2 linked regions of the Saccharomyces cerevisiae S288C genome follow. Changing the gene in region 1 together with any one later gene gives a genetic interaction. Each region holds a gene or a part of one and is shown in the gene's direction. Other genes may lie near its edges.

Region 1 (4,257 bases):
TTTTTACTTGAAGGAGTAGAGCCGAAGCGTGTGAGTATGACAGCGCTGCGTAAAACATCAGAGACGTATGTAATCTTCTTGTCTAATCCATTATTGTCAATAACTCAAGCTATATTTACATCTTTAGCGAAGTCAGAAACTTATTGTCATCCTTTCAAGCCTCGCCGTTGACATCCGCTGTCAGCATCACCCTCACCTAAAGTGTTATTACACGAAGAACTGATTAAATACGCCGAGTTTGGGATGACCTGTTCTTACCCGTTCATTCCTTTTTATGGCACACTACGGTTAGTATACGGCGTTGGCCGTGTGATAGGGAAAAATAGGGTAGGTAATAGAGAACAATTGATGAGTTTTATGTAATTGTATTCGCGCAAAAATAAAAGAATATCAACAAAAAATTTTGATTCGTTTACTTCATAAAAAAAAATCCTAAAATTTATGAAAATGATTAAAAAAAGACATCCACTTCCCCATAGTGCTAAATTGGTATGGACGTTAAATAGCTTTTATCGTCGTTGGTTTTCAGACAAATGTGTAGCACCCTAAGTGTGAGATATCATATATTTCAGAGAATATAGCACCAAGTATCGTTATGCGTTCTGGTCCGTACCTGAGAGCTGCTCATAAGAATAGGCAAAAGCAAGAAAGAGTGTTCTGTCAGGAATTTTCAAACTATTTACAAGCTAGGAAGGCTATACGTAGTAAATAACAGCCACGATTCGACGTGGATAAACAAACATCTACGAAATCCCATTTTGGCATGAAAAAGTGGAGCAAGAAAGACTTGAGGTATGAAATACTTGCAATCTTTCACATCAACACTACTTTCAAGATGTTATTGCAAACAGAAAGTGCGATTCTCTTTCTTTCATCCGGGCGTTACAGATGACCATATCTTCAGTGAGGATAACGAAAGATAAAGAGTGCTGGCTCACATTAATGGAAAAAGAAATCTACCCGCTAATTGTGATGGCTCAGAGTTTCTTCTTATGATAAGGATGTTAGTTTATATCTTGACATGTGTGTTTCTATTGTACACCGTAATAGCAGATTAGATAAACGAGAGGTCATTCGTAAGGATGAAAAAATGAACATCTGTTTAACTTTCAAGCTTTCTACCATATAGCCGAGATGAGCAAATACATTAAAACATCAAAAAGTGGTGCTTGAATGCTTATTTTATGACGCAAAGCAGATGTAATGCATCCCGAGTAAAACAGAATACTTAATTTGACTTCAGCAAAATAACTACCCAGAATGAACACCGAATTTGACATTGATAACAAGACAATCTAGGAATACTTTTACATCAGCACAATATCCATGGTGGATCCCGGCGGATTTTTCTTTCTTATTGCACCTTAATCAGGTTTACAGCCTATGACTGACTCTGGAGTGTCCTTTCCCAGTATCTGATTGTTTCCGCAACATCTATGCATATCAGAGAAGCGTTCTCATCAGTCACTTGACAAATGCTCGAGGAGCTATCATTTGCTGATAAGGTGCTACAGCGCGCTCCTGCCGCACGCTTTGTTCCTTTTCGATAAGAGTCCCTCGCGTTAGTCTGAGTGAAGTGCGGAATTCAGCAAACGAATAACAATCGACCTTATGATCATGTGGATTATCGGGGCAAAAGATTTGGCCAAGATGTCAGAGAACGTTATCACCAATCACTCACACAATTAAGTGGTAGTGTAACTCCGAAGATACGGCTAATACTTATCATTATCTGGTTTTCCGAATATACAGATTGGATGAAGTAATATATGTATATAAATGGACCAAGGAAACATCAAATTAGGAGATCATGAGGGAAAGGTTTAACATAACAACATTGAAGAAAACAACAAAACAAGGATAATCAAATAGTGTAAAAAAAAAAATTCAAGATGTCAGCGGATGCTAGTACAAATTCGAATGCTTCCCTAGACGAAAAAAATTTAAACATCACTTCAGAAGCTGAAATCAAGAATGAAGACGTAACCGCGGAGCCAGTTCTAAGCACGGTACTATCACCCAACGGTAAAATTGTCTACATCAGTGACAAGGTTGATGAGGCCATGAAGTTGGCTGAAGAAGCCAAAGAAATCGAAGTGACACCAGAAGAAGATAGAAAACTTCGTTGGAAGATCGACTATTGTATGTTTCCTTTGATGTGTATATTGTATGCTGTTCAATTTATGGACAAGATTTCCACTAGTTCAGCGGCGGTCATGGGATTAAGAACTGACTTGAAAATGCATGGTGACCAGTATTCATGGGTTACTTCCGCCTTTTATTTCGGCTATCTATTTATGAACCTAGGCCCGGTACAGTTCATTTTCCAAAGGACCAGTCACATGTCAAAAATGCTTGCGGTTTTTATTGTCATATGGGGAATGTTATTAGCTTTACATGCAGCTCCAACAGTTAAGTATCCTTCTTTCATTGTTTTGAGAGTACTTTTAGGTTGCGCAGAAAGTGTTGTCACACCTTGCTTTACCATTATCACTGCTCAATACTGGAAGACAGAGGAACAATTCACAAGAGTATCAATTTGGTTTGGTATGAACGGTCTTGGCTCCATCCTGATCAACGCAATTGCGTACGGTGTTTACATTCACCAGGATTCTTATGCTATTAAAGGCTGGAGAACCTTATTTGTCATTACTGGTGTGATAACAATCTTCATTGGTATCTTGATATTCCTGTGGATCCCTGACGATCCATCAAAAGCAAGGTTTTTATCTAAAAGAGAGAAATTAATGGTTGTCCAAAGAATTAGGTCTAACCAACAAGGGTTCGGTAATCACGAGATCAAAAAATACCAAATTATAGAGGCGTTGAAGGATGTTAGGACGTGGTTATATTTCCTCTTTACTGTGAGCTCTAATATTCCTAATGGTGGTATTTCAAGTTTTATGAGTATTCTATTGAATAGTGATTTTGGATATTCATCAAAGGAAACCCTATTAATGGGTTTACCTACAGGTGCTGTTGAATTGGTAGGTTGTCCACTTTTTGGTATTCTAGCAGTTTATGCAGCCAATAAGAAGATACCATTTTGGAAATATAAGTTGAGTTGGGCTATTTTTGCAGCTGTCTTAGCATTGATTGCTAGCTGCATGTTAGGGTTTGCAACAAACTCCAAAAAAGCAAGACTGGCTGGTGCTTACCTGTGGTACATCTCGCCCGTCTCATTTATTTGCGTACTTTCCAATATCAGTGCGAATTCCTCGGGATATAGTAAAAAATGGACTGTATCTTCAATAAACTTAGTAGCATATGCTGCAGCTAACTTGGCAGGACCACAAACCTTTATTGCTAAGCAGGCTCCTAAATATCATGGCGCTAAGGTCGCTATGGTCGTATGTTATGCTGTTATGATCGTGCTTCTATCTATACTGCTCATCGTCAATTTAAGGGAAAACAAGAGACGTGATAAGATAGCTGCCGAGAGAGGGTTCCCTGAAGAAACAGAGAATTTAGAGTTTTCTGATTTGACTGATTTTGAAAATCCAAATTTCAGATACACTTTATGAAATAGTGGTGAGATACACTGACATTATTGTTATCAGAGAAGAATATATAAAACTAAAATACTTAATATCAAAATAAGGAATTTTTTATCAAAGTAGAATTTCTGTAAGCTACATTCTCTTGGTGTAGAAGATTTCTCGACTGATGTAAAGGACAAGTCGACTTGTCCTGCCTCATACATACTTGACGATGAAGAGCAAGATACTGAGCACGTGAATCGAGGAACAGGTAAGGATACCTCGAGAAATGAAAAAAAAAAGTTGATCAGCCGTACTTGAAAATTAAATTTGGCGGTGAGAAAGACAATATCGTAATGAAAATGATTCTGACGACCCTTTGATAGTGGCAATGATCAAAAAGAAAAAAAAAAGATAAGACGGTAGTGTGAAGATGACATATAGCGCTACTCTATACTCGTCCAACTTCGAAAATAATATGTGGTCGTTGGTACGTTCAGATAAGAGAATACATCTCGCGCGTACGCATAATTGTGGTCTAAAAAACCGCTGAAATTTTCTCAATACTGAATAGAATCACGCTACTACGACAAGACTCGGTTACTGTGCCTAAAATAATCCTGTGATAAACGAGTTATGTTAAACGCAGTACAGGGGTTAAAGGGCATTGAGTTTTTGTGAGTGGAAATGCCCCCGTTATAGCTTCCAGTTTAATTACAAATTATCAATTTAAGCAAATATAACTGGAGGATTGGGGAGGCGACTAAAAATGGCTACC
Region 2 (4,976 bases), on another chromosome or scaffold:
AAAATTAGGTGATACTACGAGAGCGGTTGCGGTACGTAGGAAGGCTCTTTCAATTTTGGCAGAAGCTCCTGTATTAGCATCTGATCGTTTACCATATAAAAATTATGACTACGACCGCGTATTTGGCGCTTGTTGTGAAAATGTTATAGGTTACATGCCTTTGCCCGTTGGTGTTATAGGCCCCTTGGTTATCGATGGTACATCTTATCATATACCAATGGCAACTACAGAGGGTTGTTTGGTAGCTTCTGCCATGCGTGGCTGTAAGGCAATCAATGCTGGCGGTGGTGCAACAACTGTTTTAACTAAGGATGGTATGACAAGAGGCCCAGTAGTCCGTTTCCCAACTTTGAAAAGATCTGGTGCCTGTAAGATATGGTTAGACTCAGAAGAGGGACAAAACGCAATTAAAAAAGCTTTTAACTCTACATCAAGATTTGCACGTCTGCAACATATTCAAACTTGTCTAGCAGGAGATTTACTCTTCATGAGATTTAGAACAACTACTGGTGACGCAATGGGTATGAATATGATTTCTAAAGGTGTCGAATACTCATTAAAGCAAATGGTAGAAGAGTATGGCTGGGAAGATATGGAGGTTGTCTCCGTTTCTGGTAACTACTGTACCGACAAAAAACCAGCTGCCATCAACTGGATCGAAGGTCGTGGTAAGAGTGTCGTCGCAGAAGCTACTATTCCTGGTGATGTTGTCAGAAAAGTGTTAAAAAGTGATGTTTCCGCATTGGTTGAGTTGAACATTGCTAAGAATTTGGTTGGATCTGCAATGGCTGGGTCTGTTGGTGGATTTAACGCACATGCAGCTAATTTAGTGACAGCTGTTTTCTTGGCATTAGGACAAGATCCTGCACAAAATGTTGAAAGTTCCAACTGTATAACATTGATGAAAGAAGTGGACGGTGATTTGAGAATTTCCGTATCCATGCCATCCATCGAAGTAGGTACCATCGGTGGTGGTACTGTTCTAGAACCACAAGGTGCCATGTTGGACTTATTAGGTGTAAGAGGCCCGCATGCTACCGCTCCTGGTACCAACGCACGTCAATTAGCAAGAATAGTTGCCTGTGCCGTCTTGGCAGGTGAATTATCCTTATGTGCTGCCCTAGCAGCCGGCCATTTGGTTCAAAGTCATATGACCCACAACAGGAAACCTGCTGAACCAACAAAACCTAACAATTTGGACGCCACTGATATAAATCGTTTGAAAGATGGGTCCGTCACCTGCATTAAATCCTAAACTTAGTCATACGTCATTGGTATTCTCTTGAAAAAGAAGCACAACAGCACCATGTGTTACGTAAAATATTTACTTTATAGTTTGTACGTCATAATTTCTTCCATATTACAAGTTCGTGCATATATAGAAAGAATTCTGTTGTTGTAATTGTCATAACTATTGAGCTTTACCTGAAAATTCAACGAAAAAAACTCAAAAACCACATGCTTCTCTTGAGTCATGCGGTTCCTTTCCCTTATGAGTGAAAATCTTCCTTTTTTAGCTATGTGCGCCATCCGATAAATGTAGGAGCAATGAAGCGGAAAGTCAATTTTTTCATACAGTATACATTAATATCTAGTGTGTATTGACTGTGATCGGGAAGATCTTCAGGGTTGAATTACAACATGGACACGCAGATTGCAATAACTGGCGTTGCCGTCGGGAAAGAAATCAATAATGATAATTCAAAGACCGACCAAAAAGTTTCTTTGCCGAAGGCGGATGTCCCATGCATAGATAAGGCCACACAAACTATTATAGAAGGATGCTCCAAAGATGACCCTAGGCTTTCGTATCCTACAAAACTAGAGACTACTGAAAAGGGGAAGACCAAAAGAAACTCATTTGCTTGTGTATGCTGCCATTCCTTGAAGCAAAAATGTGAGCCTTCTGATGTTAACGATATTTATAGGAAACCTTGTCGAAGGTGTCTGAAACACAAGAAGCTGTGCAAGTTTGATCTTTCAAAAAGGACAAGGAAGAGAAAGCCTAGATCAAGGTCACCCACACCTTTTGAATCGCCGATGGTGAATGTCTCTACTAAAAGCAAAGGCCCAACAGATTCTGAAGAATCTAGCTTGAAGGATGGTACATCTTACCTCGCCAGTTTCCCTTCTGACCCAAACGCTAAACAATTTCCAAACTCTCGGACAGTCTTACCTGGACTTCAACAAAGTTTATCCGATCTTTGGTCAACTTTAAGCCAACCACCCTCATATGGAGCAAGAGAGGCCGAAACCACATCTACCGGAGAGATAACCACCAATAATCATACAAAATCCAATGGCAGTGTGCCCACAAATCCAGCAGTTTTAGCATCTAACGATGAGCATACTAATATTAGTGATGCGCCAGTTATATACAGTACCTACAACTCCCCCGTACCGATTTCATCTGCGCCTACCAGCATTAACAGCGAGGCACTGTTCAAACATAGGCCTAAAATTGTGGGTGATGAGGAAACACAGAACGTCAAAGTGAAAAGACAAAAGAAATCATACTCTAGACATATGACACGGTCGTTCAGGAAGCAGCTACAATCACTGATTATTTCTCAAAAAGGTAAAATTAGAGATATTTCGATGAAGCTTGACACTTGGTCAAAGCAGTGGAATGACCTTGTTGAAAAGAGCATGTTTTTGCCAACCATTGCAGATCCTGTATCAGTAGGAATCATATCTCATGAAGAAGCGACGCTTCGCTTACATCTTTATAAAACCGAGATTTCATATTTGTCAAAATTACCATTCATAAAGGTCGAAGAGAATGTTAGTGTCGATGAATTAAGAAAGAAGAAACCTATTTTATTCTCCGTCATTATGTCATGTGTTTCAATTGTACTAACACCCAAACAAACCACCAGAGGAACTATTATGAAGCTTGATAGTTTTGTACTAAACTTAATTACAAATCAGATTTTCAAGGCTAATAATAAATCTATCGAAATCATCGAATCACTGTCTACATTATGTCTATGGTATAATTTTTTTGAATGGTCAAGTAAAACGAGATACCATATATTTAATTACATCTGTTGCTGTTTAACTAGAGATTTGGGGCCTACCTATGTCAATCGATCCTTTGGTATGTTTAGTGACGAGGATCCAAAGAGATTCAAGTCACCTTTGGAACTTTACAGTAATGGCGCCAGTTTAACTTTATTGGTATACATTTCCGCACTCAATATTTCAATTTTTCTACGTCAATCAATACAAGCTCGTTGGAGTCACGTCACGGAAAAGGCCTGCGAGGATTTAGTTAAAGAGACGAAAAAATCGCGACATTATGACAACGATAAACTATTACTTGATTCAGCTGATGATCCCATCTTGGTTCAATTTGCTAAAATGAACCACGTCTTGGAAAATATTCACACACACCTACATGAGAGAGATCTAAATGATGACGAGTTTGATGATCCTATTTTTACTAAAAAGTATCTTAATAAACTAATGGAAAAATACCACAAGCAATTGCAAGAGATTTTCACTAAACTTGACAGAAACAGGCCAAGAGTGATTGCATTTTATTACTCTGTAGAAGCTTATTTATACCAGTATAAACTTGCAGTATTCATCGGGGAAATGTCGCATACCATAAACGAAAAAGTCGAATTGCCCAGAGAAATAATGGATGATTTTGTTAAATGCTATCATTGCTGTAAATCTGCCCTTGAGGAATTTTCCAAGTTGGAGCCAATTTTAATTACCTCATTACCTTTATTTCATACTTCCAGGATCATATATACCGTTGGTATGCTCTTATTAAAGCTGCGCTATTCCGTAGTCGCTATTCCTTCGTTTCACGATTTAATGCCCCTTACAGATGATGCTATTGCCTTGGTAATAGGGGTAAACAATCTTTTAGAAAAAACATCAGAGCTGTATCCCTTCAACAACTCTCTTTACAAATTTAGGTATGTTATTGCGTTATTTTGTCAAACCTACGCAAACAAAGTTATTGATGTTGCTGATCGCTACAATGCAGAAAGGGAGAAACTAAAGGAAAAGCAGGTCATAGACGAAGTAAGCAATGGCCACGATGGTACGAAGCCAATAAATGCATATGTAACCGAGTCACAAAAGATGCCAACAGAAGAAGATCCAATTATCGACAATAATACAAACCAAAACATAACCGCTGTACCTGATGAAATGCTGCCAGTATACTCAAGAGTTCGTGACGATACTGCCGCAATGAACCTGAATATTAACAGTACTTCATATATGAATGAATCCCCACATGAACACCGAGAGAGTATGACAGGCACAACTCTATTACCACCACCATTTATTTCTAATGATGTGACTAACTCTGCTGACTCAACTAATATAAAACCATCACCTAGTTCATCGGTAGACAACTTGAACGATTATTTGACGGATATAAACTCCTTAGCATGGGGCGTTAATTCATTAAATGACGAGTTTTGGACAGACCTTTTCATGAATGATATTTGAGCCCCCACAACAAAAATTATGACCCAAACCAGATCCGAGTTTGTATTAACAAACAAAGTTTAAAATATGTAAAACTAATTAATTTATCCTTAGGTATATATACGATGAATGCAATTCAATTCATCGCTTCTATTTATTTTAGGTTTTTCTTCTGCTCATGGTTCGTGCTCACTGATTAACCATTGGTGCTAGAAATGACTCGAGAACGGATATAAAGTTTCTATTGGTGATCTTTCTTGTCCCTTGACCTCTCATTTCATTTTCGTTTTCAGCGAAATCGTACGGTGATAATAAGTTGTTGCTCACGTATTTGACATAAATATGGCTGTAAATATACTGTAAAACCTGAGTGTAAGACTGCTGTTTAAAGTCGGACAATAGAACAAACCATAGCCCTGAAGCTGTACAGTATGTGTGGACTCTATACTTTCCTGTAGATATACTCCGTATGTCATTTTTAACAGACCCTTTGGAGAGCTTTTGTGTAATGGAGCGTAACG

Evidence for each region.
Region 2: mutations in DAL5 (region 1) and WAR1 together harm fitness more than expected from each alone (negative genetic interaction), as found in Saccharomyces cerevisiae (one large-scale study listed by BioGRID).

Annotation. Positions count from the first base shown.
Region 1 is NC_001142.9:717,774-722,030, forward strand, and holds DAL5 (allantoate permease), read left to right. Parts: upstream 1-1,892; coding exon 1,893-3,524; downstream 3,525-4,257. UniProt on the Saccharomyces cerevisiae protein: Component of the allantoate transport system.
Region 2 is NC_001145.3:112,013-116,988, reverse strand, and holds WAR1 (War1p), read left to right. Parts: upstream 1-1,641; coding exon 1,642-4,476; downstream 4,477-4,976. Other genes in the region: hydroxymethylglutaryl-CoA reductase (NADPH) HMG1, read left to right, coding at 1-1,255; TRAPP subunit BET5, read right to left, coding at 4,645-4,976. UniProt on the Saccharomyces cerevisiae protein: transcription factor which binds to a weak acid response element (WARE) to mediate stress induction of PDR12 and FUN34, encoding an acid transporter and a putative ammonia transporter, respectively.